4 linked regions of the Diceros bicornis minor genome follow. The protein of the gene in region 1 binds, or shares a complex with, the protein of each later gene. Links are inferred from orthologs where the notes say so. Each region holds a gene or a part of one and is shown on either strand. Other genes may lie near its edges. The genes, in order: CNOT6L, CNOT11, CNOT9 and CNOT2.

Region 1 (7,647 bases):
ACTTAGTTACATAATATTTCAATAATTAAATGAGTATTTATACTTATGTTTTTCAATGCCCGCAGTCAAGGCTGCAGGAGAAGGAACTAATGCTTAACTAAGCATCTACTATGCGCCAAACATTTGTTTTCTCCTTCTATCCTCAGACAACCTTACTACAAATGTATTATCTCTGTTACAGAGAAGAAAACAGAGGCTTATAAATATTAGATACCTTGCCTCAGGTCAAAAAGCTAAGAAAAATGGCACAGCGAGAGTTCTGAGGTCTGTAAAACAAGTCCTTTCTCCACTAAACGACATGTGTTGTTTTTCCAGTAGTGGTCACAGAAAACAGTTCTCCACCCATCCTATTCTTCCCCCTACTTCCCGGTGAACATCATGGAACATTTCTTTGTGAGACCAGGTTCAGAAAAAAGCAATCTCTGGCCACCGTGACAGAGCATGGCCTCCAAAGATAGAACCTATATCTTGACTTGATCCACAGGGTTTTCTAGATGGGCTAACTAGATGCGAATGGAAGAGGGAAGAGTAGATCAAGTAAATCAGCACAGAATTATCCAAATACCATTTCTATTGGGTTCTGAAGTGCACTGTATACCTACTGGCCGATTTATCTTTACAGTTGCGTTTTACTTAGACTACTCTCAAAATAGCTCTCCAGGAGCACACACTGAGTAGACAATAGAAGCTGCTTGATCTAGGTTTTGGAGACTGTGAGGGAAAACGTGTTTGTTTGTGTTATGCATGACTATCTTGACTGGCAATTAAGATAACTAACTACAAGCAATAAGCTAGTGTCTCCCAAAATGTAGTACTGTGCTTCCAATGTGGACAAACGGCTCAGCCCAACTCCTGAACACAACCCATCTCAAGAGCCTAGGCTAACTAGTCGGCCGAGTTCAGGATGACAGCTCCAGGAACTTCCTCTTCCTCACCGACCCCCTCAGCTCGGCGCGTACACGCCTTTCCCCCTAGGAGGCAGGATAAAACAATTTTGAATGCCCCAAATCGATCCAATCCCACCAACACCACAGGACACGGAAGCCAGCTTCCATTTCTTCCCCGGCCTCTCCAAGAAAATCTTTTATCTTAAAAAAAAAAAAAAAAAAAAAAGCATACCTCTTACCAAGGAGAAAGTACGTGCAACGAAAAATGAAAATATGGATGTAGTCCCTCCACACAGCCGTCAGGGAAGGATTTAAGGAAGGGATCCCGCCAGCGCGTATCCCCGAGATTTACTGCTTTGATTCACTTTCCCTCGGGTTCCACCGCCGGCCGGGGAGAGCTCGCAGTTCGAACGCCGAGCTACGCCTTCGCCTCTCCTCAGGCGAGCCGGCGGCCGGGGCGACGGCAATCGGCGCGTCCCGCCTCCGACCCTCACCTGCCCGGGCCGGCGGCGGCGCCCTGGGCCCGCGCGGCCCGGGAGGCGGGCGGGCGCCGAGGCGGTTAGGCCGCGCTGCAGGCCGGCGCGCTTCCTGCCGCGGCTCCGGGAACGGCAGCCCGCGGAACGGCGGCGCGGCCCGACCGCAGCGCGTGTGCCGCACACACACTCGCCCTCCCGGCCCGGCCCCGAGCAGCTCTCACCTGCGAGGCTCCGGAGCCTCGGCTACAGAGCGGGAGGGACACGCCGCTCGGGGGTCCCGGACACACGGAACCCGCCCCCAGAGTCCCGGGCCCTGGGCGCGGACACCCCCACCACACACACACACCCCGGAACCTTCGCCGCCTCCGACCGCGGCGCGGGTCAGCCCCACACCCGACACACACCCACTCGCCGTGGGTCCTCAGGCCGCCTCTCCGCCCGCCAAAGTCCCAACTCGCGCACCCACACGAACATTTGTCCCTCTCCCACCTCATCTCCCCGGGGACGCGCTCCTCTTCCCCACACTCTCGATCCTACTCGCAGGCACACACACACTCTACCTCATTCTCTTCCTCCGGCCCAGGAGCGACAGCAGCCATTTCCCCGCGGCAGGGGAAACACACACACAAACACGCGCGCGCGCGCACCAGGCCCCCACAGATGCTTCCCCTCCCGAGCGGCCGCCGCAGACGCAAACACAAACACCCACGGGCGGCCCGCGCTCCCGCCCGCCCCGAAGGGAAGCCGCCGCCACAGGAAGGGCCCGGACCCCGGCTCTCCGGCGGGCGGGCGCGTACGGCGCCCGGGCCTGGGTCGCGGAGGGCCTGCGCCCCCTCCTCACCTGCATTCAGCGCGCCGGGGTCCGGGCGGCGGCGGCGGCGGCGGCGGCGGGGCGGCTGGTGCTGGTGTTGCGGCGGCGGGGGAGGCGGCGGCGGCGGTGGCGGCGGGGCTGAGGGCAGCAAAGACATGCAGGCAGCCCGCCGGGGGGAGAGGCACCGGCCGGAGGGGACGCGGGGCGGGCGGGCCGGGCCGGGCCGCCTGAGGAACGGCAGAGGCGGTGGCGAGGAGGGAGGCTGAAGGGAGCGAGAAGGAGACGGATGGGGGGGCGGGGAGGGGACGAGGGCCGCGCCGCCGGGCTTCGGGGACGGTGACCCTGGGCGCGCAGGAGAGGCCCCGCGGCCGCCGACGCGAAGGCCCCCGCCGGAGGAAGCTTCGCCCCCGCAGCCGCCGGAGCCGCGGCTATTACTCCGAGAGCCGCGCAGAGCCTGGCCTTGGCCTTGGCCTCCTGGCGCCTGGGCTGCCGCCGCTGTGGGGGTTACTGCTGCGCCTGCTGCTGCCGCGGCCGAGGCTGCTGCACAGAGACGCCAGCTTTCGGTGCCTTTGCTCTCGCTCACACACGTTCACACCCCCGAGGGCTGGGGGAGAGGCGTCCGCGCGATATCGGTATTGAGATTAATAACAAGGTGCAGAGAGTGCGAGGAGGAGGGTTGATTGACGTGGAGGGGCTGGCGGGAGTCACTCACTCCCCTGCGCGGAGGGGTGGGGTGAGGGCAAGGAGGCGGAGCTCTAGCGCCGCGCCTTGGCCCCGCCCCCTGGCGCCGCGTTTGGTCGTGGTGCGCGTGCGCGCGCGGCTGCCGGGGGGGGGTCTTGCCTGTTTTCTCCTTTACCCTTGCTGTTTTCTTACTCTCTTTTCGTGGCTTGAGTGACGAGCAGAGCTGGGAAGGCTGGTAGGGTATCAGAAATCCACATCCACTAAGCCATGGTGGGGGAAGGGGAGAGAGTGGCGAAGCCGCCTCACCCGGTGTTCGTGCCTGTACTCGGTGCTGTTTACTGCTCGCTCGCCCGAGGCCGCGTGACGGCGAAGCCGAGCGCCGGTCTGGGTAGCTAACGAGACGCCAGGTGAGGTGAAGTAACCGAAGGAAATGTTTCCGGACCTCTTCGGTGGGTTTTTTTTTAACGTGTGCCGCCTGTGTAAGTTGTATCGCGAAAGTAAATAAGAGAACCCGTGACGCTATGCGATAACCCGGTCCTGTTTATTTTCTAATTCTCCTTTCTCGCGATAGAATTACGTTTGTTGGCAACCGCCAGCTACAGAGTGAAAACATCAAAATGTAAACTGGAAATATTAATATTTACTTGGTGAATGTGGCCTTGACATTTTAAGTTTCTGGGGTTTAATTTTGTTTTTGTGAGTCAGTTTCAGCAGTCCCAAAACAAATCATACCAGCTCTAGAGGCAGAATGCTGCTGTTGCAGTTTTGCACAATCTCTTTCTCAATGCATGCTCCGAGCTTGTGTACTTACCAGTATTGGTCAAGGGTTTATTAGTAGTGTTCAGTAGTTTTTTCCCACAGGGGTAGTGTTTAGCACACTAAGCACGTTGTGTTGGTTGCAATTAATCTTAGACCCTATTGTCGGATGTAAAAGACCTTCCTCTCCTGGGGAAAAAGATGCGGTAAAAATGCAAATCATCATTTAGCCAGAGCTGATCAGCTATTAAAAGACCCCACGATTGCAGAAGAACAACTGCACCACTTTCGTCTTTGTTACCAGGAATTGTGAGTGAGTGACTGAAGAAGCCTTTCAGGACATTCGTGGCTACTTTGTTTTCCACCTGTGTTAAGTTTCTATCTCCCTCCCTAGCAACCAGCTAGGTTTCCGTTTCCCACCCCCATACCAGCTTTTGTAATAGGTGTCCAAATGGTCTTCATCCTGGAAGAAGTCCCACTGATTCCCAACTATCTTGAGCCTAGGCTGACATATAATGAATAATTATCTTTGGCTTTGTACAAAGCCAAACAAGTCACTTCAGGAGCCCAGAATAGTAAGCCTGCCTCAGTGGCATCTTGCCACAGCGTTTTTCCTTGGCACACAAACAGTCTTCCCCAAGGAGAAATGCTACCAAATGTGAAGAAAAGAGCGAAATAGGCACCTGAAAAATATAAATCAGATGATGGGAAATCCTCACAGATTTAAGCTTCTTCAAACACCTGTAGATATATAGATTCCTAGCTATTCATTCGTATACAATAAAAAAACGTCTGTGGAGGGTGTTTTATGTTCCAGACATTGTATGTAGCGTCAGAGATAGATAAGCATATGTAGTCTCGATTTTTAAGTAGCTCACAGTCGTGGTAGGAGAAGCAGACACATAAACAGGAAATTCTCACAGAAGAAACCAGAAATGAAAGTATGAAAGGTGACACAAAATTAATAGTCACAACAGTGCCCAGGAGGATAAGGCTGATGGCACTGGCATTTTCACTTGAGCTATATGATACCTGCCACTCTCACAGGCTTACTAGCGGTAGTGACTGGGGTAAGGAAAGAGGGGAGCCTTTGTGGATGTTCAAGAAGCATTAATAATGGTGGGGTTTGCTGGTCCTGAAACTCAGATTTATATAGGAAATATTCATCGTTGGCCTTTAAATTTTAAATACTAAACGCGTCACAATCCATGGAATAATTGTAATTGTGTCATTCAGAGTTAAGAATAGTGAATTTAAAAAAAAGAGTGGATTTTATTATAAAATATCAATTGAATGAAGGTTGAGTTGAAATAATCTCTACTCTAGGGATGTTCTCTTGATACCATAGCAAATAAATTGACTCACTAGAAACAAAAGGAAAGCAATACTTTTATATATTACCCAGTATAACTGTATCATCCAAAAAATAGATTGTTGTTTTTCTCATTTGCAGTGAGATCGAAATTAGAGAAATAATAATTTTCATATAGTTGGCACTGTACAAATGCTGAGAAATTAAATCTTCACTGATATGAAAAAAATCCCTCATAAGACTCCAATTCAAAAAACATTCCAACAACAAAAGAGTAGCACTTAAGCGATTTTTAAAAAGCAGTTTTATAGTACATCAAAGTTTGCAACAGAATAGTAACCTACTTTTGATGTCTCATTTCATGGGAATTTTTCATGTTTGACAGATACTGCAATTTTTTAATTAAGATTAAAAATAAGAACATAGTAAGAAAATATCACTTTTAAGAAGTGATTTATCCAAGTGAAAGCTTTTGGCTTAAGTAAGCCTTTTTGACCAAGTTGGTGTAACAGTAACACTATGTAGGTACAATTTGTTCTGAAACAACACTTAATGTTTATTTGTATTATTGTATTATTACGGAATTGGTTCATTTCTTCTCAATAAAAAAAAAGTACTTGATGTTCTAGCGACTACCTGTGTCTTTTCCAAATTAGTAATTAATATTTGATGTGAGTAAATCTGATCTCTCCATGTTTTTTCTGTTGGTAGCACAGGTAGCTGAACCTCTTAGATCCCTTATAACTGTTTCTTTGTCTGTTTTCTGAAATTCTGTTGAGCAGCTTGCTCAGAAGGCAAAGATTTAAAATTTTTTATTTAAGAACATTATTACTATTTGATAAAGAACCAATTAAATTTCATTTTACTGATTTCAATACATACCTTTATACTAACTACATAACTTTTCAAGAAAACGGTCACATTTCAATTATTCAGTAAGGTATAATTAGTAAGATAATTAAATGTAATCTACCTGATATTCATTAGTACAACTTTTAAAGAAGTATTAATCAAGGTGATCTTGAATTTTTACTTCCCAGACCTACTGACAGGGCTTGCAAACTATATTCCAGTGATATATTCTACCTTTTACTGAACTACTCTCCATCTTCTCATCTTTTACTCATCTTTTTACTCTTCCTCTCTCTCTCTCTATCCTCATAACTTTATTTCTAATGTTTTTTGAGGTACCATCTACCATGGGTATATTCATCGAAGAAAGGTGGCATTACTCATTGCCTCTACCCCTCTTTGGGTCCATCAACTCTCTCTTTCCATCAAAGTCCCCTTTGTTCCTTTCTCTAGAATGACTGTTGATGACGCCAAGGACCCATCCCAGTATCTTAGCCAAAGATGAATATTTTCCACGATTATTAATAGTGTGCCATATATATATTAGTCCTAGGTAAAATGAAAAGTAGGCAGAGTTCATCTTGGTACCCTCCTGCCTGCTCTTTCTACACTCCCTGTCTCAAGTCCCTTGATCCCTGAATATTCAAAATCTCCACCCCAATCCCATCAACATCAGCACCACTCTTTCTAGTACTTCCCTATTGCAGAAATTTTGTACTAGGTAAGCACCACCACCATCAATAAATATCTAGTGCTTAAGTTTTTCAAGGACTTGGAGGCATGCTATGCAATTAGCATGCTATCCAATCAATAAAATCAATTATTTTAATGCTCTACTCCGTGGATCCTCATGAGGTCTTCAAAGGTATGCTTCAGAAGCCACCTAGGGTACACAGAGGGGACCAGATAGGTGGGACCTCAACTAGAAAGCCTCTGTTTTATCTGTTTTACATATTGACCATTTAATTGTCTGCCTGCTAACTTTCCTTTTTCTACAAACAATGCTCCTTTCCTTTGGGGAAAATATTCTTTCCAATACTGAAAACAGGTGATTCTAATGGCAGCTGCAGCTCAAGAGAGTCCCCCAACTTCTTGGCTAAAGGGTGGGCATATGCCTCAAGCCAAAGCAAGCAGAGTTCGTCCTGAGAATGTTTCAGGTGGGACTAAGGGAAGAAGGGCTATTTCACTGTACTAGTAGTCTAAGACAAGAAGGAAGGAAGGAAGAAGGAAGTCTTGAGAGTGGCCAGTGGCCACATACTGCCTTGAATAGAATGAAGTCATCACACAGAGATGAGAAGCGTAAAGAGCAAGTCCTGTTGGTGCACCAGTCTCAGGTTCCAGTCATCCATGGGGTCCAGCTCCACCTTTTCACATAGTGTAGTTAAATTAACTAAGAAATTCTGTTCTACACCTAAACTAACTTGAGTTAGACCTTTGCAACCAAAACATCCTGACTAATCCGTTGTATTTCCACGTGAAAATTCTTTCAAAGAAGGCTAACTGGTGCTAAATAAGTTTGAAAATCACTGAACTAAACTACAATAAGACATTATTATTGGTGGAATCATAGTCTACCAAATGTTGTAGGTCACTTGGTCTTACTTCCTCATTTTCCACATGAGGAACCTAAAGCAAAGTGACTTGCTGAATATCACCCAGGCAGTCAATGGCAAAGTCAGTGTTAGAAACTGATCTTTAGATACCTAGTTCAGTTGTTCTCTTCATTACACTACTGTGTTGTCTGTTTAATTCCTCCCAACGGTACTTTTAAGAGGCAATTACTTAGAGATACGACCTTAACCTAAAAGAATAAATCACAACAATGGTAATTGCAGACACTGCTTAGTGGGAAGATATTTGGCAGCATGGAGG
Region 2 (7,416 bases), on another chromosome or scaffold:
ACTGGAGTAGGTGGGCCCTAAATCCAAGGACTAGTATCCTTATAAGAAGGCCACGTGAAACACAGACACACAGGTGATACTGAACCTCTTAATCTCAAGTTTGTGTGCCCAAGGCACAGAAAGCCAAACACCGAGACATTGGTGCTTGGAGACAGAGAAAGGCTCTGTTCAAGTTGGCCAAGACGAGAAGGTGGGAGCACGGGCTGTCTCAAATCTGCCTTCACCAGAGCAAAAAGCAGGGGGGTTTTATAGAGCTAAAGGGCTTGACAGGGGGAGCTTCAGAGAAACAAAGGGGTCACTCCTGATAAGCCCCTGGGCAATCTGCAAGGGCTGCTGGGGGCTGGCCATCTGGTGATCACAACTTCCCAGGAGGCGTTCTCTTTCTTCTGCAAAACAAGCTCTCAAATCCTCTCCACCCAAGTCACCCCTCAAGTTAAACAAGAAAACTGCAAATTGACAAGATTCATCTATGTCTGTGTTGGGAACAAGGTGAAAAAGCAATCATGTTCTTATTGAATATCTACAGTAACCCTCAGGTACCCAGCTCTACCAGGAAGAAGGCCATGTAACTGCAGAGGCAGAGATCGGAATGGTGCAGCTACATAAGCCAAGGGATGCCAGAGACTGCTGGCAACCATCAGAAGCTGGGAGGATACAAGGCAGGATTCTTCCCTGGAGTCTTTAGAGGGAACATGGCTCTGCTGACACCTTCATTTCTGACTTTTAGCCTCCAGAACTGTGAGATAACAAATTTCTGTTGTGTTAAGCCACCTAGTTTGTGGTTATGAAACCAGTAAACAGTTAGCCATTGATGATTAGGTAGCTAGTAACTAAAGTTTTGTTTTGTAATTACTGATTATAGCTTTTAGTTGTTCACCGGTCCATTGTTAACTGCTGTTTAGGCAATACGCTATCTGACTCCCATTAGGTTCCTATAGATAACATCTCTCTAGCACCTGGGTCACCATGGTAATGGATGTTTGAGCTGTTTTTCAGGAATTAGAACCCCTTGTCCACTTCAAGCCGGTTGAGACCACCAACCCACCAACTGGGCCTGAGCAGACGTCTGATAAGTGACCTTTTGATGTCAACAAGCTAAAAATTCCACCCTCGGATCATGCTAATGCCACCATTATGTGAACATGTATCCTATGAAGAAGCCTGAAGTTTGACTACACTTGTGCAGATCATCAATTACCTCGCCTCTCCTCACCTCCAACCATGTATCTCCACTTTTCAGACCAACTTGCCCCCATAAATATCCCTGAATCTCCGTTTTCAGGGCAGCAGATTTAAGACTTGTTCTCCCACCTCCTCACTTGGCTGCCTTGTGATTAAAACTCTCTCTCTGCTGTAATCTCGTTGTCTCGGCAATTGGTTTTCTGGGTGACAGGCAAAAATGACCTTGGTTTGGTAACAGTTACTTGTTACCAGGAAACTAATGCAAGGCCTGAGAGTTGTTTTCAGGGAACATGTAGGAAGTCTGGAAATCTTTTTTTGTTTTTTTTGAGGAAGATTGGCCCTAGGCTAACATCTGTTGCCAATCTGCCTCCTTTTTTCCCCCTTTTTTCTCCCCAAAGCCCCAGCAGATAGTTGTATGTCATAGTTGTACATCCTTCTAGTTGCTCTATGTGGAACGCTGCCTCAGCATGGCTTGACGAGCGGTAAGTAGGTCCGTGCCCAGGATCCAAACTCTCAACCCCTGGGCCACCGAAGCAGAGCTCATGAACTTAACAGCTACCTCACCAGGCCAGCCCCCAGATATCATCTTAATTTTGAAAATGCTCCTATAGGAAGAAAAGTATTTAGTTCTTTTTTGGGGGGAGGGGTAAATATAATGTTCAAATATTTTGAAACATCTTGAAAAAAAGTAAAACCTATTCATGTAGGCTAATTGCTGTAACAAACAGACCTCACAATGTAAAATGGCTCTGTTGAAAAGAAATAACAGGCCCAAAATAGAGGCACTTGTGTTAAGTACCACCAAGACTTAATACCTAACCTAAATACAGTTTCAGCCTCTCCCAGGAATGGAAATTTAAACCAACTGGTCTGGAATTTCCTGATCAACACTAGTGAGGTAATCTGCCTGATAAGGCCTCTTGCCTTCCTCTAAGGGAAGGTGATGTTCAGGCAAAATAACCAATAACCATTCTATAGATAAGAGAGACAGGGTGAGTTTTACTTGAGGCAGGGTGAGGATTATAATCTGGGAAGGCAGTTTCCAAAAAGGAAGAAAATGTTCCAGAGAAGCATGGTTTTCAGTCCAGTCTTATACCTTTTGAGAACAAAGCACATACATTAAACACACCCAAGATACATATTCACCAAAGTTTCAAAGATGTATTTAGTTGCAAATTAGCAGGTCAACATGACTCTGATGTTGGGAAATAGTCTAATACAGCTGTTACCCACACAGCGTAGGAGGAGTAGTATGCATTCTTATCTTAAGAGAATGCATTCTTGGGGCTGCCCCGTGGCCTAGTAGTTAAGTTCGGTTCGCTCCGCTTCAGGGGCCCAGTTTCTTGGGTTTGGATCACGGACATGGACCTACACCACTCATCAGCCATGCTGTGGTGGTGACCCACACACAAAATAGAGGAAGACTGGCACAGATGTTAGCTCAGGGCTAATCTTTCTCAAGCAAAAAAAAAAAAAGAGGATTGGCAACGGATGTTAGCTCAGGGCGAAAAGAGAGTGCATTCCCTAATGGTTAAGCAGATCTACAATGCATGTTTGATAGGCCAGAAGTCAGGCTTCTTTAGTTCAAGCCAAACCAGTTTTAAACCTGAATACTTACCCCATATACCTCAATATGCGAAAATCTCTTGTCAGTAACCTTGCCTGAAATGATCTACTCTTGGTCTCACCCTCATTCTGCCTATAAAAACCTTCCAGGGACCAGCCTAGTGATGCAGCTGTTAAGTGCTCTCGCTCCGCTGCTGGTGGCCCCGGTTTGGATCCCAGGAGCACACCAATACATCGCTTGTTGGGCCATGCTGTGGCAGCGTCCCACATAAAGTGGAGGAAGATGGGCACCGATGCTAGCTCCGGGCCAGTCCTCCTCAGCAAAAACAGAGGAGGATTGGCATGGATGTTAGCTCAGGGCTGATCTTTCTCATGCACACACAAAAACCTTCCATTGTTGTCCAAGTCCTTGGAGCTCCTTTCTACTTGCTAGATGGGATGCTGCCTGATTCATGACTCACTGGATAAAGCCAATTAGATCTGTAAATTTACTAGATTGAATTTTTGTACTTTAACAGTTCAAACACAAGACAGTTTTTTTACTATAGTAAACAATAAAATGAGAGTACTTTCAAGCTAATTGGCAATTTCTCTTCCTTCACTTTTACTTTAGAATTAAGGTGGCGCTTAACTAGATAATTCTTGAACTGCCACCATTGTTGAGCGCAGGGCGGAATTCCCAGGCCTGCCCTGTGGGCACGTTTCTGGAGGTCTAGCTAGGAGCTGGGCAGGTGTGGGAGACGTCACTCGGCCGTTCTCAGCCCCGAGAGCACATTAGAGTCACCTGGGAAAGGGTTTCTGTTTTTTGTTTCCTAATACCTGAGCCATCATCTCCGGGGCAGGGGCCCGGCACCAGCATTTTTAAAGGCTCCCCGGAGGGTGCCCACGCGCCGCCGACACCCAGGATCAGCGCCCCAGGGCAGGCTAAGTCAAAAGTCGCACAACAGTTTTATAAGTGAATATTTATTGGAAAAATTTCCCCGAAATCTCCTTAAAAATAACCGTGTACAAAAGCTCTCGTACAATATGACTCCATTTCCGCAAAAACGATTGTAAGACTGGGAATTAACTTGGGTTATGAGAAAGGATGGTGTCTTCAGTTATTTGCATTTAAAAATTTTTTACCATAAATAGTCATGTGCGGTACATTAAGGGAGCTATTAGAATCTAAGGTGCATTTCTCCCGACAACAATGAAGCCCGCATTTGGGACCGTTTGGTACCAGGCAGTGCCCCGGGGGCTCACGAGCCGTCCTCTTTCCCTCGCACAGGCGCAGACGCACCCCCCGCGCCCGGCTGCCACGCGGGTCTTCCTCCGCGCGCGCCCAAACCCCTGCCGGCGGCTCCCGCCCCTCCTGCAGGCCCCGCCTCCACTTCCGGCCGCTTCGCCCCGCCCACCCAGCGCCGCCGATCCTCTCCCTGGCCTCGCTCCGCGCCGTCCCTCTCTTCCGCGGCCGTCTGGCTTCCCGGCGTGTTTTGTTTGCGACGCTGTCGTGTCACAGCGCGCTTTACGGCCGCGGGGACGGCGCGAGCCGGCGGCAGGGCCACTTCGGCCGGGAAGCAGGACGGGAAGGAGTTTGATGCCCGGCGGCGGTGTGAGCGCGGCGTTTGGCCGGCTTCTCACCGCCGGGGAGCAAAGGGGGGCCCGGGAAGCGGCGGGGTCGACGTCCAGGAGCGGCCCGGGGGGCTCCGGCTCGGGCGGCGGCGGCAGAGGCGGAGCAGGCGGGCCCGGGCCGGGGAGTGGCGGCCCCGGGGGCCCGGCGGGCAGGATGAGCCTGACCCCGAAGGAGCTCTCGAGCCTGCTGAGCATCATCTCGGAGGAGGCGGGCGGCGGCAGCACCTTCGAGGGCCTGTCCACCGCCTTCCACCACTACTTCAGCAAGGCTGACCACTTCCGCCTGGGCTCGGTGCTCGTCATGCTGCTGCAGCAGCCGGACCTGCTGCCCAGCGCGGCGCAGCGCCTCACCGCGCTCTACCTGCTCTGGGAGATGTACCGCACCGAGCCGCTCGCCGCCAACCCCTTCGCCGCCAGCTTCGCGCACCTGCTCAACCCCGCCCCGCCCGCCCGCGGCGGCCAGGAGCCCGACCGGCCCCCGCTCTCAGGTACGCCGGGGGCGCGCCGCCCTGCCCCCGCCCGGTGCGCGGTGGGGAGACTTGGAGTCACCAGTTTTCCACCTGCGCTTTTGGGAATGCACCCGCAAGTGAAATTATCTCCTTTTGAAATCCGCCCCCTCGACACTACCAAGTGTGGAGAAATGGGAGCTTAACGATCAATTCATGGCACCGAAAATTATTCCTCGCAACGGTACAGACCGTGAAATCATGTAGCTCAGTGTGGGGCTTGACATTTTTAGTGCTTCAAATACAGCTCTTGCTTGTAAAGCCCGTCTGAGGTGTGTAAAATTGTAGCTGATGACACAGTGGATCTGCCCCTGCTTTTCAGTCTCAGAGGAGTAAATAGAAGTCGTTATTCAGAACCCGAAGAAGTTGTTGGACGGAAATACACATTAAATAGCGGTTAAGGACTTTGCAGCCACCTTTGTTGGGCTGCTAGGTATACTTGGATAATGTGATGGGGGCAGAGGATAGAAGGTAGTCTCGTTCACCGCTTAGATTAGAAAACGCATGACTACTGGACGTTATGTCAAATACAGCACTGGTAAGATCTGATCAGTGGGTTCCGTCCGAGGCTCCCTTTCTTTTTCTTTTGAACTCAAGCAAGAGATACTATGTGAGACGTGACTTGAGGAGAAGACTTGCAGCCAGGAGGGGAGAAAGGCACAGAGGCGATGGTGATGAGGGATAAATGTACCTAGAAGACTTAGACAAGGACCAGTGTTGTAGAGGAAGCAGGCGGAGGTGGGAAACAGCTTGATCTTACAGTACTTAACCAGTGGGTAAAAGGGCAGGTCACTCTATGGGTAGGGGCTGCTATACAAGGAGTCAAAGGTTAAGGTAGCGGATTTTGAGTTAATAGCGGAGTTTTTCGCAGCGCAGGAGGGCTTCTACATTATAAGCCGGCTGGTGTTCTGCCTGGCATCCCCTCTGGATCTAAAGCGTTTTCTCTTTGGTTTTCTGCATTGCTCTTATCAAAGGGGCAACCTTTGTGTTGGATGAGATGCCCTTAGGGTACAAGTACTGAACCTGGCTTTCAGGAAGTTTGAGAATGCCCAGAAAGGGAATGCAGCATGTGTATGAGTGGTCAAAACCTACCACCCTGGGGTGCCCTTACCAGAGGATGGGGACAGTGTGGGATTTAGGTCAGAGGACCCTTTGAATTCTGAAGGACAGGTTAGGAAAAGGACATATAATGTCGCTTTCAAATGCAAGGAGTCTATACCCAGATGTAGTCCATAGACTGCATTGTAAACACAAATTTGCCAGAGAAGGAATCCATGGATTGGTTATTTTACCTGTGTCTCAGTTTCTTCATCTGTAAAATGCAGATGATAATTCTTAGCTGGTAGAGTTATTATGAGGAATAAAAGTATCTATGATGAATGTTACCCATTATTATCATTACTTTTATTAAAGGTAGGGACAGTGCTGAAATACACAGCCAAGGGAGTATCAATGCCAAGGCTTATGATACTGTACGTGTAGGGTGAGCATATAATGGGTATATTTTTAATAAGTTTTTCAGATGATTCTAACGCAGAGCCAGAGTTGAGAATGTATCTGGAAATAAATAAGATGGCTTCTCAGCTCTCAAGAAGCTTGTGTTCTGGTTGGGGAGGCGTAAACATAGGATGCAGTGTGGTAAGGGCTGTATGTAGTAGGTGTCTCAGAATGCTTGGGAGCACAGAGGAACGTCTACCTGCATAGCTTGCGAGATTCTCAGAGGGAGTGATGTTTTTGGTGGATGTTGATTAGAGATGGGGGGTGGTTTGGGAAGGATGTGGCCCTTTATTTCTTTTATTCTGTTTTTTTTTTCTTTTTTTCTCCCCAAAGCCCCCCAGTATATAGTTGTATATCTTAGTTGTAGGTCCTTCTATGTGGGACGCTGCCTCAGCATGGCATGATGAGCGGCGAGTAGGTCCGCATCCAGGATCCGAACCGTTGAACCCTGGGCTGCCGAAGCAGAACGCGCAAACTTAACCACTGCGCCACCGGGCTGGCCCCTATTTCCTTTATTCTTAAAGAACTGGGTGTATTGGATGTTTAGAAATCAGGAATCAGAGAAGCTGAGAGATTTTGTGCAACTGGAGTGTAGGATACATGGATTGGAGGGGAGTTCAAGAGATGGGATTAGGACAGTGGGTCAGAACCAGATTATGAAGAGCCTTATAATGGTGCAGAAGTTTGGGTTTAATTCTGTGTTAACAGGTTAAGTAACATGAGCAGATTTGTACCTAGAAATATGATTAAATAGTAAGTGGGAGTCTGGACTGTGGGTCAAAACTAGGCCGGAGTCAAAACTGGGAGCTGGGGAAATCAGGAAGGCTGTCCTGTAGTTGGGGGCAGGGAGGGTGGTGCGGTTGGACATGAGGGAAGGGAGTCTGGTGGTATTGCTGCTGTTGGATGGGTGAAGCTTGTTGAGCTCCCTTGTTGACAAAAGGGAAGCAACATTCAGCACTGTGGGAATGTTTAGCTGCCCTGTGCACTGGAGCAGGTACGTGAAGTGTATTTGCATTACTGGTGATTGCTTCCTTGTCTCTTCAACTTGTAC
Region 3 (7,881 bases), on another chromosome or scaffold:
TAAAAAAAAAGAAAGTGATCATTTATACAACCAAGATTAACCCTTTGATTATTTAAAAACCACAAACTACCTTACTGAAAACATTTAAAAAATAATGCTCAAGATACACACACACACAAGATCAACAGAACCTTAAGGATATATCTGCTGTGCAAAATGAGGGACTCCAGGAGGAGCCTGCACCTTGATCAATTTGTGTCTTGGTTTATTTATCCCTGCTACATTTTGAAACTAAGAAGGCAGTGAAAAAGAGTATATCCTTTGTTGACTTTATAAACATTGTTATATAATGATGTCTCAAATCTTAAAATACCACTACTATGATGTGCTGGTACAAATTTCAAAAGGTGGGTAAACTTCATTTTTACTTTTCTTTTAAAACTAATTTTATGGGTTTGTTTCTCAAATTTAGGCCTCTCTAAGCCTCAACTTTCCCTGAAGTTTGACCCAAACATCTCTCACTGCCTTCTTCAATGCTATAACATCAACTTTACATTTATTTGTTCACTCAGTAAAAAATCATTTACTGAGCTACTCCAATTTGATGGCACTGTGATAGGGACAAATGCAAAGATGATACAGTCCATGCCCTCATTAAGAGACTCCCCAGACTTCCTTGGATTTGTCGTTCCACAGTCATTCAGGCAAAAATCTTAGCATCAGCTTTAATTTCATTCTCATTTATCTAAAACCCAATCTTTTCATGGCTACTACCCTAATTCAGAAACTCTTCACTTTGTCATCACTCCCATCTAATATTTATTACACAACATTTACTAAGCACAGTACTAAGGGCCATACATGCATTATCTCATTTAATTTTCAAAATAATCCTAAAGGACAGGATAATAGGATAATCCATTTTACAGACGAAGAAACTGAGGCTTATAGAGATTAAGTAATTTACCCATGGTTACAGAGTCAGTAAGAGACAAAATTAAGTCTAACACTAGAGCCCATGTTTTTAAACACTACCATATTGCATCCTCATCAATGATTTGCAGTAATCACTTTCCAGTCTCCATTCTCTCAGGATTTTTCCATCCAATGAATCCTTTGCCCTACAATATCCTTTCTAAAGAACTTTATCTCTTACTAACTAAAGTATGCACTACTTGTCTCCTTAGCTTTCTCCCTAGAGTGGAAGGGTGGGGGGGCTGTCTTATCTTCTTTTGTACTCCAACAAAATAACAGGCACTTAGTAAGTGCTAAATATTTGCCAATGATGCTAACTCTCTCCCAAACATTTTTAAGATTTTTAATTTATTGTGGTAAGAATACTTAACATGAGATCCACTCTCTTAACAAACTTTTAAGTGTACAATACAGTACTGTTAACTATAGGTACAATGTTACACAGCTTATCTCTAGAACTTATTCATCTTGCTTAACAGAAACTTTCTCCCAAACATTTTTAACAGCTCATTGCTACCTATAAAATAAATCCAAACAACTATGTTTGGCATTCATACACCTATTTTTTATTTTCTATTTCTCAACACAAATCCTGTTCTACACACAAATTATTAAATTTTAACATTTTCTTCCACATCCACCACCAACAACTTACTTAAATATGGAATTTTTCTTTATTTTTGGAAATCTTATCCTGACTGGTCTCACAGTTTAACCTGTTGTTAAAATATATAAACCACTGCTCTGATTCCTAAGGGCTTTCTTTCCTAACAAGATCCATAAAACAAGTGCGCAAAGAGATTAAATTAGTGTTGTGGCTGAGAGTAAAGAAGAAGTTGACCTAGATAAAGTTTATCTCCAATTCAAAGAGTCTAAAATATGAATGATTTTATGATATAAGAATGGGTAAAATCATCCAGAGCTGGAAAACTGTTTTTTTTCTTTTGCATCCTTGAATTTGTCTGCAGGGTGAAAAGGTGTGTGTCATGGGATGACAAGATTATCAGTAAGCTGGTGCTTCCAAAAGACATGATGGTTCTCACAGCAAGTGCCAGTTTACTTATTCATTTGACAAATTCTTGAGAAATAGAAATGAAATAGTTACATATTATATATTGGAGAAAGACTTTAAATAATCACACAAGTAAATATATAATTACAAGTTCTGAAAAATGACATAAAGTTCAGGGCATGATGAAAGATTATAACAGGGTAGAGGGGGTAGAGGTTAGAGAGCATCAAGAGAAGGCTTCTCTGAGGAAGTATCACTTAAGCTGAAAATTAAAGAATGAGTTAATTGGGGGATGGCTGTGCTGGAACAATCTAGGCAAACAGAACAGCATGTGCAAAGGCCCTGTGATGGAAAATAACTCGGTGTGACAAAGGAAACTAAAAGCAGTGAGGCTGGAGTTTAGTGAGGAAGAGGAGGATGGTGCAAGATGAAGCTAGTGAAGCAGGAAAGAATCAAGTTACACAGAATCTTCTAGACCATAGTAAGGATTCTGAATTTTACCCTAGATGTAATAAATACCTAGTGATAGGAAATCCAATGAAAGGTTTTAAGCAGAGAAATGACATGTTACTGCTGAATGGAGAAGTGATGTGGTTTGTTTGGGTTTGGGGAAGAGAGTGAAAAGAGTAAGAATGGAAGAAAACAGGGCAACCAGAGAGGAGAGTATTGACCTGACTCAGCCTATAACAACAATTACAATTACAATTACTGCTTACTGGCTATTTACTGTGTGCCATGTGCTTACCATGGCTATCTCATTTAATCCTCATAACAATGCAATAAGGTGATTATTATTCCCATTTTACAGATGAGAATACAGGGAACCAGTGACATCAAGTCCAGGTAAAACAGGATTGTGGCTTGAACTAGAAAGGTAATACTGAAGATGCACAGAAATAGATCCAAGACATATATCGGAAATAGAATAAACAGAACTTGAAGAAGGTATGGATACATGGGATGAGGGAGAAGTCACGAATGGTTTCCAAGTTTCTAGCCTATGTAAGTGGATAAATGGACAAACTGGGATACTGGAGGAGAAAGAATTTGGGTATGGAAAGATTAAGACTTTGGTTTTACACTTGTTATATTTGAAATTCCTAAGAAAAAATCAAGTTGAGATGTCAAGCAGACAGGTGGGTATTTTGATCTTGAGCTGAAAACAAAAGGAACAAGCTGGAAATAAAAATTCTTAAGTCATCAATATACAGATGGAATTTAAAGCTTAGGGTGGAAGGGAAGAGTAAAAGGAGAACAGGGCCTCGGACAGAAGCTAGATAGTCCTTTTTTCCCCATCAAACGTCTCTTGCTATGGTCATCGGTTACTTGGATGTCATCGGGCTTTTCAGTCCCCTTCAACTTTACCTTTCAGCAGAATTCAACACTATTGATGACTTCTTTTGTCTCTTTCACCCCTCTACCCAGTTATTAACTGCCAAGAATCCCTCAGTGCTCCATCCATCCTAGGTCCCCTTCTTTTTTAGAACTATACTCTTTTTAGGCAATTTCATCCACATCCACAGCTTCAACTACTATCAACACAGCGATAAGATGTATACATTTATCTATCTATCCAACCCAGAACTCTGCTGAGCTCAGACCCAGTACATCCAACCGCCTACTTGACATCGTCTTAGATATCTCTTCCAGTTAGAGACCTGTCAGATACTGCCACCCCAAAAAAGGCGTTTACACAAAGCCCAAATTTTGAAAGGATGACCACAAAACCACTACAGGCCAACTTTCCAGAACAGGATTTTGTCATCAGTTATCGTTTCCTTTCGTGGACCGTGACCTAAAATAGGTAAACCTGACAACCTGATGGCTAGAGATGGGGAGCAACCAAAGGCAGGACAAAAAACACCCTTCGTGCCTTTTAGCGAGAGATGGTTAGGTGAGGAAAGAAGGGAAAGAACGGTCAAGAGAGTGAAAGAGTATCACGTCCAAGGCCTGATGGACGTGCGGCAACGGAAGTCACCTGAAGACACAGCAGGCCTCGCTAAGGGGCGAGTGGCGGACGACGACAGCCCCCCGCGAGCAGGCGCCGGGTTCGGTTTGCGGAGGGAGCGAGGGACAGCAGAGACCAGGTCCAAGGAGAGAGAAATCCCGGGGGAAGACCCAAGCGGAGTACCTGTGAGGCCAGGGGAGCGTCGAGGGGCTGGGGGCGGGCTGAGCGGCACCGGGCGAACTCTGGAGGAGTGAACGCCGAGTGGGCGGACCGCACGGGGCGGGGGGGGTCTTGGGGAAAACGGCTCAGTTGAGAAGCTCGCCGGGCCCGCCTTACCTGTGCCTGCGAGTCCGGAGCCCCGGACAGGCCCGCCGGAAGCACGGAGTCCGCGCGGAGGGGGAGGAGCCCGGGGTAACGAAGGAATGGACACCGGGCACCAAGGAGTGGGGCCGCTCGCTCCCTCCCAGTCAGGGAGAGCGGCTGATGGCGGGAACTGTGACCACACGCAAACACGCACGCACGCACGCACGCACACTCGACGCGACCACACGGGGCGCGTGCGCGCAAGCCTGCAAACTCCGCCCCTCCCACGCCCTCGCCCCGCCCCAGCACCTAGCGTAGTCTCGCCGAGGCAGCCCCGCCCCTGCCCTGATGTAGTACGCATGCGCACTTTCCACTTCGCTGCCTTGGGGCCTCCCACCGTTTCCCTCATGCTCAGCCCAGTCGGGCATGCGCACTACTTGCCCTCCTGGGACTGCCTGGCTTTTCCCGCCCTTCACTGGCCTCCGGAGGAGGGTCAGAGTTCACGTCCCTCTCTTGGGATACCAGCTCGAAGCTGGGGGATGCGAGGACTAGTGGGTGGCGGACGTCCTTCCGGTCCTGAATCTTAAGGGGCAAAGGACACACGCTGGGACTATTAACTCAGCCGAGAGCTAGGAGGCGGGAAGAGGTTGTGTGGGCGGGGTCAAGGGTGAAAGGTCAGAGGGCTGCGAAGGGGGCGGAGCGAGCCGGAGGCGGATGGCGGCTGCGGCGGCTCATCGTCTTTGGCGGCAGAGGCGCTGAAGCGGGGACGCGGGTCGGGCGCGTCCGGCAGTGGGAGGAGAGCGGCGGCCGCTCCCAACATGCACAGCCTGGCGACGGCTGCGGTGAGTGGCCGGGCCGCCCGGCCTCGGCCCAGAACCCCTCCTCGGCCCTGCTTTCCGGCCTTCTCTCCTCGCTCCCTGCGTCGGGCTCGGAGTCGGGCTCCTCCTGCCCTCCTTGCGCGAGGCCCCGGCCCCTCGTTGCCGCGCTGGGCTGCGTGGGACCCGGCCCCCACGTTCCTCACCGGCCGGCGCTCGCGGCCTCTGGCGCCGCGTATCGCCTTCTCTCCCGGCCCGGGGCCTGGTCCGGCGCCCGGAGCGCCTTTTCGCGGCCCGGACAGGCCATTCATTGATTCACTACGCTGACCGACAGTTTCGGCCTGCCGGTTTCGTGCTGGGCGTGGGCAGGGATGAGGGGAATGCCGTGGTCCCTCTGCCACGGCCGCGCTCGGGACGCACTGCCTAGGCGCATCGCAGCGGGAAAGAAATGGCTACTAGCTCAGACCGCTTGCGTTATAGATGGAAAAGCTGAGACCCGGAGAAGTGAATAATTATTACGTCTGACTTATGGTTCTACTGCGCTTACAACCTTTTTTCACACGTCTCATTTTACCAGCGCGATCTTTTATCAAGAAAAACGGATCGTGTAACTCACCTGTTTAAAGTCATCTTATGGCTTCTCTTTGCATGTAGATAAAATCCAGACTCCTTGCCATGGCCTACAAGGCGCTGCTTGTAGGATGTGGTCCTTACCCATGTTTAGTCTCATGTCATTTGCTCCGTAGGCTCTGGCTACAGGGACCGCCGTGCCATCCCTTCTGCCTGCACTTTTGCATTCCAGGGTGCACTTTCTGATCTCTATTTCTGGAATGCTCTTCTTACTCTCCCCGCCCCCCCCTTACTTACTTACACACAGACACACACAGCATGTGGATGTAACTGGCTCCTCTTCCCTCAAGTCTCAGCCTAAAAATCTCCCTAGAGTGGCCTTCCTCGACCACCCTATTTAAAGTAGTTTTGTAACCCCCAGCTTTTCTCTGTTAGAGTACTGTTTACAGCATTGATCCCAGTTTGTAATTTTTGTATTCTTTTATCTGTCTGTTGTCTGTCTCCCTCTTGATCCACGGGGATCATGTGGGTCCTGTTTATATGGTTACCCCAGTGCCAGGACAGTTCCTGGCACAAAGGAGGGGCTCAAATACTTTGCTGAATGAAGGGGTATAGATGAGGGAGGTCACTCCTGAGAGCACATAGCTGTAATGGGAAAACACGATCATATGATTTGAGGATACTCTTCTGAATGCTCATCCTAATTTTTCTGTTTTACTAAGGTGATGTGACTTAAGGAGAGAGTAGTATACTGAAATTGCATTACCAGGGAAAAGGACATACTAAATAGAAGACCAAAAAATTGCCTTAACTTTAAATATATAAAGTGAAAAAGAGAGCTGAGCATGACTAGGTTATAGAAAGCATTGTCATTTCCCAGGCCTGTGGCATCTCTGTGTCCTATCACCATGTTTCTAAGTGTTTGTAACTCTTCAAAGTGGAGAGGTACTTTTTATATCTCTCAATTAGGTAATTGCAATTTCCCCAGCTTTTTTATTTCTTCTAAGTAATACATGTAATTTGAGAAGAAGCAAGTCAGAAGATATGGTTGCTGCTCCTAGGGGAGTGGCAGGTTAAACAAAGGATTCTTCTAAGGTTGGCTTGTCCATCTTTCAAAATCTGATTGTCTTCTCCAGACTTTGATATCAAGCTGCTCCTTTCCCTCTGCCTCCGCAATCTCTCTACCTAGTCAATTCCCTTTATTTTCAATTGCTCCCTAATGCATCTTTGGAACAGCCGTTAAAGCTGTGGTTCATTACTTATAAGAAGTACTGGATACATGTTTTCTTCAATTAAATTTACAATGCTTTACATTTATTTAAAGTTTGAGCTTTTAGATATGCTGTTTGGACCACACAGAAACTCTGACAAGTTGCTTTGCACCACTTATTTACTAGAATATCTGGTTAGTGAGGAGACTGAAGCATAGAGAAGTTGAGCGACCTCTTTCCCAATCCTTCACGCCTTCCATTAGACGAAACTGTCTGTGTTATTCTGATCTGGGTAAAGGAACTGTAATGGTGTATATCACTCACAAGAAATTGAGAAGAGTTAATAATACATGCAGCAGTGCCTGCAATAATCTAAGCCACTTGAGAAAATGCTCACTTTCTGCCTAATGATGAAAATTTTTGTTTGTGTATACCTTTATCTCTTTTTAAGAATAACATCACTTCAGCTAGGGAGATAGTCTATCAAAGGACAACGTGATCACATGTGAATGCAGGATGTATTCACTAGAGGGAGGAAGTTTCTTAAATTTTGACTCCTGAGTAGTAGTTTATTACGCTAGAAATGTATAATATAGTAGACTCTTGTCATTCTTTACAGAATACATCCTAACATCATCATTGTTGCCACCATAGAATATAATTTCGTTCTCACATCTATTAAATAGGGACAGAGACACCACACAGGATTATTCTAAAAATTAAATAAGAATAACAAAGTGCTCAGTGGTTGGCTAGGTTCACTCATTGGTTAAATGACTTGCTCCCAGACTTCAGCCGTGGGATGCTAACTCCTGCCTCAGCAAAATAACAAATCACTTTGTTGTGGACCTTGGAGGTTGCTTCAGATTAACAGAGCTGCAAATCTTCACGTACCGTGGGTCTTCTGTAATGAATGTTATGCTGGTGATCTAAAAGAGCCAAAGGTAAACCTTTAGGAGATGCATGGGGTATGCGTTTTCTCTTTAATTTCCCCACTAACTTCCACTGGCAATTCTAACATCCTTAAACCCTTGTCTTTCCCTCTTTTTGCTTGAGGAAGATTGTTGCTAGCATCTGTGCCAGTCTTTCCGCCTAATGAGCAGCATC
Region 4 (7,695 bases), on another chromosome or scaffold:
AAGCCGTCAGAAAAGCATATTAGGAATTCTTTTTCCAGGTCATCCCTAATAGTACAAAGTAAATAAATGAACAAGCCATATCAGCATGACTTGTCCTCAGAGAGGAGTTTTAAGAGTTTAAAAAAGGATGCGAAACAGAAAAACTAAAGGAAGAAGAAAAAAATATATATAGTATTTAAATTGAAAAAGGAAAGACCCAACGAACAAAACCAAGGTAAAAATTAAAAAATAATTATAAAACCTTAAAACCCTAATGTCCATCCTATTTCTTTTCAAAGGCAGACTTTCTACAACAGACATCAATTGTAGTACAGCTCTTTTCAAAGCATCTATTAAAGTCACAATGAAATTCAATTCCTTTAACTATCACAGGTAGAAATCATCCTTAGTAAGCAAGGATCATCACCAGAACGACTACTATCTTCGCACCAGATCCCTTGGTATCAATATTGTATGTAATCCTATTCAAACACTGAAGTGGAACTCAGATGAACTTGGCCTCTAAAACTGCCCTACCTGCTGCTTTGGTTTCTTTTGCTTCTTTGTGTTATAAAAGCCACTAGAGGTCTAGGTAACAAACAAAATCTTATTTAGTAGTATCTTTTCCTACAAGACTGTATCACTATTTGCATAAGTTGTCCTCAAATGCCTATTCAAGCAAGCACATGGGAAGTTTGCTTTTAAATATGTACTCATAACAGAGTGAACTTTTTACAGTTAAAAATTTTGACAATCAAAAAAATACTATTTAACACTGCTTTTAAAGAGCAAAAAATAAATTATTTTTACTAGTCTATTAATGTCTACTCATTATTTCATATATAGACGTGAAGCATAACTTTTCTATATTTTTCTGTATCATCAGAAAACCTTATGAAGCAAATCTGTCACCAAAAAGTTTGGTGAAACTGTTAACTTCCCACGGGCTGTGAAAAATTCTGTACGAGTCTTTCAAAACTCAAGTACTTTTAATACCAATACCTACTGAAGAGATAAAAACCAAAACACTTCTAATTAGCAACACTTCTAATAAAATCTATTCATAAATCTCAACTATTTTATTTACTTGTGAACAAAGAGAATTTTCAGGTTATAACTGTAAAATATCTCTGAAAAATCAAGAAGTAAATTAAACTTCCAAAGTTACTAAGTAAAAACATAGGTAATTAGTTCTCTTGGGGAGAAATATCATTCTGAGTTTTATTTTATCTTCAAGATCAAGTACTTCTCAAACGACCGAGAACATAAATCACTCATGCATTTTGCCCTCGTTTTTCCACCATATAAATTTACTTTAAAACGAAAGTATTATAGAAACTGAAAATTTTTAAAAGGCTGTATTTGTTGCTTGGTTAAAGATACAGGCAATTCTCATTCCTCAAGAGTACCAGATTAGGTTACAGATACCTCTATACAGCATACTTAGAACAAAAGAGTTCTGCCAACAAATGATGCTTACATTAATTTATTTTTATTGATGCAGTAATAATTAGGATGCAAAAAGTGTGTAAGTTTCTCAACGGCTGTCTAAAATACAAAGTATTCACAGAAGTCACTGCAATTCAAGCCCTCAGGAAAAAAGAGAGAGAAACGTACCTTTTTAAAATTAAACAAGGATCTTAAAAAGTCAAGAAAGAAGTGGAGCAAGAGTTATCTTTTCTACGTGTTTTTTGTATTTTTCTTTTAGATTTAATATTACAAAAGAAGTACAAACTAAAGAGGAGTTCAACACGAAAAACCTACCAAAGCTCTTACTTCATTAAGAAATATTTCAATGACAAGAATCAGAATGTAAACATTTAACATTTCAGTCCACTGTGATTCTTCATCAATCCTTCAAATCTAGGATAAAGGTATCTTCCAAAACTGCAAGAGATGTGGGCATTGACGTTTGGGAAACAACTGTTTTCAAATATACCCAATATTCCCAAACAACCCAACGTGAACTTAGCATGTAAATAGATACTTTTCAAATTTGTATCCCCCCATACTTGATCATTTACACTTAGCTTCTTTCAAAAGGCAAATCAAAAGTTGCATTTACGATTCTAGAAGTCTAGAAATTCCTGATATCCAGCATGACAAAAAATGTGTCCAACTTTGAACACTAAATTCAAGCATGGCCTCCTTCTGAACAGATTTTGTTAACGCAGTACTTTCTATCATTTCGCCAAGAATCTAAGGGTTGACATCAGGGTACTGAATTACTAGAAACCGTCCAGAAGATTAAGAAAGGAGTAGGATTCTTCGACCACTTTTACGAAAACGAAACAAAATGTGCTGCATTCGGCCTTCTGGATGTTGAAAAGTGAAGGTGTCCCCTAGAATTCGAAGGAAGTTGATGTTGAGGTTCCTTCCGAGAGGGTGGTACCCGTATGTAAGACCTGGGTGGTGGTAACACCGTCCCCACAGGGCCTGGAATAAATGCAAACTCTTGGAAAAGCTTTTACGAAAGGAAACTCGAACTCGCCTTCGCAAGGCCCAGCCACCCGGAGTGAGCGCGAGGCTCTCCCTCCGAGACCGACCGCAGAGCCTCGGCCGACTCGGGCGGGCCTCTGCGAGCCCCACTCGCTTCTTCCGCGAAACTTTGAGCGAGACCCGAGACGCGAAGGTGGAGCAGCCGCGGCGGAAGTGGAGCCCGGCGGGCGCTCCGGCCGCGGCGCCAGGACCGGGCCGGCCACCGCGCACGGGAGCTCCCGGGCCCGCCCGCACCCGCACCCCCGCACCCCCCTCCCTCACACACACACACACACACACACACACACACACACACACACACACACACACACACACACACAAGTTGCCGGGCCGGAGCGCGAGCCGCGGGCTCGGGAGGCGGCAGCCCGGCCGGCCGGCTCGCGGCAGGCTCCTCCGCCCGGGAAGCGGCGCCGCCGAGGCCGCCGACCCCGAAGCCGCGCCCGGCCCGCGCCGCCCGCCCTCCCCGCACCCGCCCGCCGCCGCCACCCCCTCCCCGCCGCCGCTCGCCCTCTCGACTGGAGCCAGACAAAAGCAACGGGAAGCGGCGGGCCGGGGCGCTGCACGCGGGCACCCGGCGCGCCCGCACCGGCCCCGGGGCCTTCCCCCGCCTTGCGGGGCCCCGAATCCGCCGCCCCCGCCGCGCGCCCCGCTGCCAGACTTCCGAAAATTTGCCAAAAACTCACCGCATGAATTTTCTTGTCCCGCGGATCCAAGATGGCGACGTATCCACCGCGGAGGCTGCTGGGAGCAGGACCTTTACCCTCTGACCCCCACCGTGACCCCCGCCGTCCGGCTTCGCTTTCGGCGGCGGCGGAAGGTGGGAGCGGCGGGCCGGCTGGGCCGGGCCGGGCCGGGCCGGGGCCGGGGGTGGGCGGCCTCTCTCCCACGCGTCCTCGTCGTGTCCCCGCCGGCTCCGGGAGGCTTGCGGCTCCTCCGCGGCCGTCACGGCGAGCGGACCACGGGTTCCGGGCGGGCCCGGGGCGGGGAGTGCGGGACTCGTCCCCGCGGCCGCCGTCCTCCCCCGGCCCGGCCCGGCCCCTGCGCCCCCCGTGCACCTGCGGGCGGTGTGGCCCGGTCAGCGGCGCGCTCCTCCCCCTCCCCCCGCCCGGCGCCTGCGCCCCCCGTGCACCTGCGGGCGGTGGGGCCCGGTCAGCGGCGCGCTCCCGCCGCGGTGCCGCCGGGCCTGGGGGAGCGGAGGCCGACCTCTGCCCCCGGACGAGCACCTGCCGCTCAGGGGAGGTGGGCTCGCTCTCCGTGGAGTAACGGCTCTTCCTTCCTCTGAGCGTCGGTGAGCCTCCCGGGGTGCTGCCCGGCGGTCTGGGACGCGGAGCCTCCGCGTGTGCGCTTGGGATTGTGCTGTTCCATCAAGTGAACATTGTTACTCCTTTCTGTTTGAGTGATAGAATTTGTTAATGTAAAGTACAGTTCGTGTGGAGTAAATAAAACTTCTGCTAAAAACTCACTGTAATCCAATTTAAAATTTATCATGGAAAGGCAGACGGCCTCCGTCACTCATAAATAGCAGGAAAAATAAGGATACTATAAAATAAAAGGTGACTTTGTCATGTTTACGGGAGGCAAGCTATTTTGAGATGTTAGTAGATGTGTGAATTTATTTAAACTCCAAATGGTGCTGATGTAGCCAGTAGAAAATGTTTTGCCTGGTTATTCATTTCGTTAAACATTGTGCCTCACTGTCTTTTTTACTTCAGGAAACTTCAAGGAGGATCAACACTTCCTTATGTCCTTCCCTCCCTTTTCCTCCCCGCCCCCCACAGTCCTTTCCTGCTCTGAGCTTTCTCTTCCCTGTTAAGATGTGTGTTAAAAGGCTGACGCTGCCTCTAAGTATGTGTAATACGTATAGGTGTATGAATACATGCACATGTGTCTATGTACTACTGAGCGTGTATATCTAGCGATTAGTAATTTGAAAGTATAACTCGATATTTGGAATCATAAGATGGAATGATAAAAACGGGATATGCTTATAAGCATATAGTAGCATCAAGTATTACCATTCTAATCTGTTAGTTTGACTCCTGTATAGGACTTTGTTAAGACCAAAAGCTGGACCTTATTCTTACCATCACTATATTTACTCAAAAAAGCACAAGTTTTAAATAGCATGAACATTGGTGAAATTGGAGAAATCACTTCCAAAGGGTCTAATTTGAGGGCTTTGTTACCTTGATATTTTATTGCAAGAGACAGAACAACAAACATTTTCACCACAAATGTGTAGGGTAGGAGTGTTAGGAAGAAGAATGCACTGAGACTACTGCTTTTTTGAAGACACTGCTTGTTTAGGATAAATTTACTTTAGACCTTGTTAAAGAACAAGTTTTAAATTGTCTTGTTACTGGTGCCCAATCTATATAAATTTGTTTAATACCTGCCTTAGAGGTGGGTTCTAGGTATTAAATGAGCTAACATTTGTTAAGGGCTTATATTTATGACTTTCTATTAAGCACTCTAAATGCTGTATTTTTTAAATTGCCCTATTGCATCAAAAAGTTCATCTTTATTGCCAGTATTGATCAAATTTGCCCATTTGGTAGATAGTTCATGGTGTTTTGTTTTGTTTTTCACCTATTCACTTTGATAGATTTTCTAACTTTTACTTGTAAAACAGTCCATACCTGAGTAGATGTTGTGTGTTTTTGAAGTGTGTGTAAGGTAAATTCCTTGTATACCTAATAGGACGAATGAGTTTGTTGACTCATAACTAGCTGTAGGAAAGGGAGGCCTCCTGTTTGTCAAAGTGTGTAGACAATACTAAAAATCTTATCATGGCAAGGGATACAAAGGACAGGCATCTCTAATTTAATGTGCTGAAACAACGTTTGAATCCAAACATCTCCCACGGTCTTCCTGATTTCCATAAACAGTACCACCAACAGTCCATTCACTTGCTCAGGCAGAAAACTAGGAATCTTCTGTGATTCCTCACACCCTGGGTCCAACTCATCAGCCAGTACCCTCAGGTCTTCCTTATGTACATTCTTTTTTTTTTATTAATTTTATTTATTTTTCCCCCAAAGCCTCAGTAGATAGTTGTATGTCATAGCTGCACATCCTTCTAGTTGCTCTATGTGGGACGAGGCCTCAGCATGGCCGGAGAAGCAGTGCGCCGCACGACTGGGATCTGAACCCGGACCGCCAGTAGCGGAGCGCACACACTTAACCGCTAAGCCACGGGGCCGGCCCAACAAAATACTTTTTAACTCTGCTTTCTCAACTACATCAACTTGGTTGAATGTTTAAATACATGGTTAAGCTGTTTCCTTAATAAAAACATTAATTATTCTAGCCTATGTATGAATTATAAGATATCTTTCACTTAAAAAGTAAGATTATGGGCCGGCCCAGTGGTGTAGTGGTTAAGTGCACGCGCTCCGCTTCAGTGGCCTGGGGTTTACAGGTTCGCATCCCAGGCGCGGACCGATGCACTGCTTGTCAAGCCATGCTGTGGCAGCATCCCATATAAAATAGAGGAAGATGGGCATGGATGTTAGCCCAGGGCCAATCTTCCTCAGCAAAAAGAGTAGGATTGGCATTGGACATTAGCTCAGGCCTGATCTTCCTCACAAAAAAAAAAAAAAAAGTAAAATTACTCCCCCAAAAGTTACCAGATTCAATCAGTACATAATAGTAAATCAATTTAAAACTCACATATAATCAGCAAATACATTTTTGCTGGCAGTGAAAAATTAACTGAAATCTGTTTTAAAGGGAAAAATGAATTAAATACTGAATTGATAACAGGAATGAAAATAATTTATAAATACACATGATAGGTCAATGAAAGAATTATCTGTGTTTCTTAAGCAGTAATGGCATTAGCCATTCAAATGCTTAGTGTTAGCCTGCTTTTTAACTGAAGAACTTAAAGTGAAAATACATTCAGTACAGAAGAAAGTGAAGATTATGAAGTATACAGATTGCAAGGAAACCATGGGTCTGGAAGAAACAATCTAAAAACCATACTGCAAACTGATTCCATCCTATTCAATAATTCTTGCTCTCACTGTTTTTATGTTTAACTTAAAATTTTTACATTCCTTTTTTGTTTTAACATTTTATTTTTATTTATTCCTTGAAACTGCCCACATTGCAAATTGTTCATGGATGAAGTACAGAGCTGTGCAGGTTTTTTTCTACAAAATTATAGTATAAACTTAATCAGTTTTCTATCTGATTGCTAATAAACCTTACAGCACACAGTTTGTAAAATACACCCCTTAAGGACTGAATGTGTAGAGTATGCTCAAGGTACAAAAAATAAGCTAAACATAAGCATATGAATGGCAAACATCATAACACAAGAAAAAGAATTTTAAAGAGATACAGTTCAGTCCTGAAAGGGTTAAATAGAAACCTTAATATTATTGTTTCTAACCATCCATCTCATGGTGCTTGAAAATAGTCAAAAGTCTGGCACAAAAAAATTACACACATTTGTTCATTATACATCAGAAACATAGCAGCTTTTGAAATCAAAAATAAGTAACTTGGGCCGGCCCAGTGGCTTAGCGGTTAAGTGCGCACCATCCGCTACTGGCGGCCCCGGTTCGGATCCCGGGCGTGCACAGAAGCACTGCTTCTCCGGCCATGCTGAGGCCGCGTCACACATACAGCAACTAGAAGGATATGCAACTATGACATGCAACTATCTACTGGGGCTTTGGGGACCAAAAAAGGAGGAGGATTGACAATAGATGTTAGCTCAAAGCCAGCCTTCCTTAGCAAAAAGAGGAGGATTAGCATCAATGTTAGCTCAGGGCTGATCTTCCTCACAAAAAAAAATAATAAATAAATAAAAAGCGAGTAACTTGATTAATAATTAAAAAGCATTTTGTTTCAAAAAGAAACCGTCTGTCAATTATCTGGTTAAACACGAATAGTTAATTTAGTTCTCAAAAACTGCATTGGAAATTTTCTGTGAGGATACGTGATATCAGTTCCATTTAAACAAAACAGTAATGATCACAAATAAGTCTATGCAGTAGGGTGATAAATATTTCACTAATTAATACGTATACCAGGATACCTTAAGTTGCCAAAGTTTAAGAAAAGTCAGCAACAGGTTAAATATACTAGTGTTCAACTCTAACATCTCCCCAAATATAAAGGGAATAAAGCCTTTAGCTCACCTTCCCAGTCTATTGACAAATTCAACAGAACTAATAAAAACTGTTAGTGGATCACAGGCTCAGC

Evidence for each region.
Region 2: CNOT6L (region 1) and CNOT11 share a complex: the UniProt entries of both Homo sapiens proteins name them as parts of the CCR4-NOT complex. The link is inferred for Diceros bicornis minor from reciprocal best matches to the Homo sapiens genes CNOT6L and CNOT11.
Region 3: CNOT6L (region 1) and CNOT9 share a complex: the UniProt entries of both Homo sapiens proteins name them as parts of the CCR4-NOT complex. The link is inferred for Diceros bicornis minor from reciprocal best matches to the Homo sapiens genes CNOT6L and CNOT9.
Region 4: CNOT6L (region 1) and CNOT2 share a complex: the UniProt entries of both Homo sapiens proteins name them as parts of the CCR4-NOT complex. The link is inferred for Diceros bicornis minor from reciprocal best matches to the Homo sapiens genes CNOT6L and CNOT2.

Annotation. Positions count from the first base shown.
Region 1 is NC_080747.1:63,136,413-63,144,059, forward strand, and holds the start of CNOT6L (CCR4-NOT transcription complex subunit 6-like), read right to left. Parts: upstream 3,131-7,647; 5' UTR 3,113-3,130; coding exon 3,048-3,112; intron 2,597-3,047; exon of another isoform or gene 2,205-2,596; intron 2,003-2,204; exon of another isoform or gene 1,929-2,002; coding exon of another isoform or gene 1,924-1,928; intron 1-1,923. UniProt on the Homo sapiens protein: Has 3'-5' poly(A) exoribonuclease activity for synthetic poly(A) RNA substrate.
Region 2 is NC_080779.1:12,245,823-12,253,238, reverse strand, and holds the start of CNOT11 (CCR4-NOT transcription complex subunit 11), read left to right. Parts: upstream 1-4,202; 5' UTR 4,203-4,327; coding exon 4,328-4,850; intron 4,851-7,416. UniProt on the Homo sapiens protein: Component of the CCR4-NOT complex which is one of the major cellular mRNA deadenylases and is linked to various cellular processes including bulk mRNA degradation, miRNA-mediated repression, translational repression during translational initiation and general transcription regulation.
Region 3 is NC_080776.1:8,937,323-8,945,203, forward strand, and holds the start of CNOT9 (CCR4-NOT transcription complex subunit 9), read left to right. Parts: upstream 1-4,654; 5' UTR 4,655-4,996; coding exon 4,997-5,020; intron 5,021-7,881. UniProt on the Homo sapiens protein: Component of the CCR4-NOT complex which is one of the major cellular mRNA deadenylases and is linked to various cellular processes including bulk mRNA degradation, miRNA-mediated repression, translational repression during translational initiation and general transcription regulation.
Region 4 is NC_080756.1:1,258,740-1,266,434, forward strand, and holds the start of CNOT2 (CCR4-NOT transcription complex subunit 2), read right to left. Parts: upstream 3,216-7,695; 5' UTR 3,167-3,215; coding exon 3,162-3,166; intron 1-3,161. UniProt on the Homo sapiens protein: Component of the CCR4-NOT complex which is one of the major cellular mRNA deadenylases and is linked to various cellular processes including bulk mRNA degradation, miRNA-mediated repression, translational repression during translational initiation and general transcription regulation.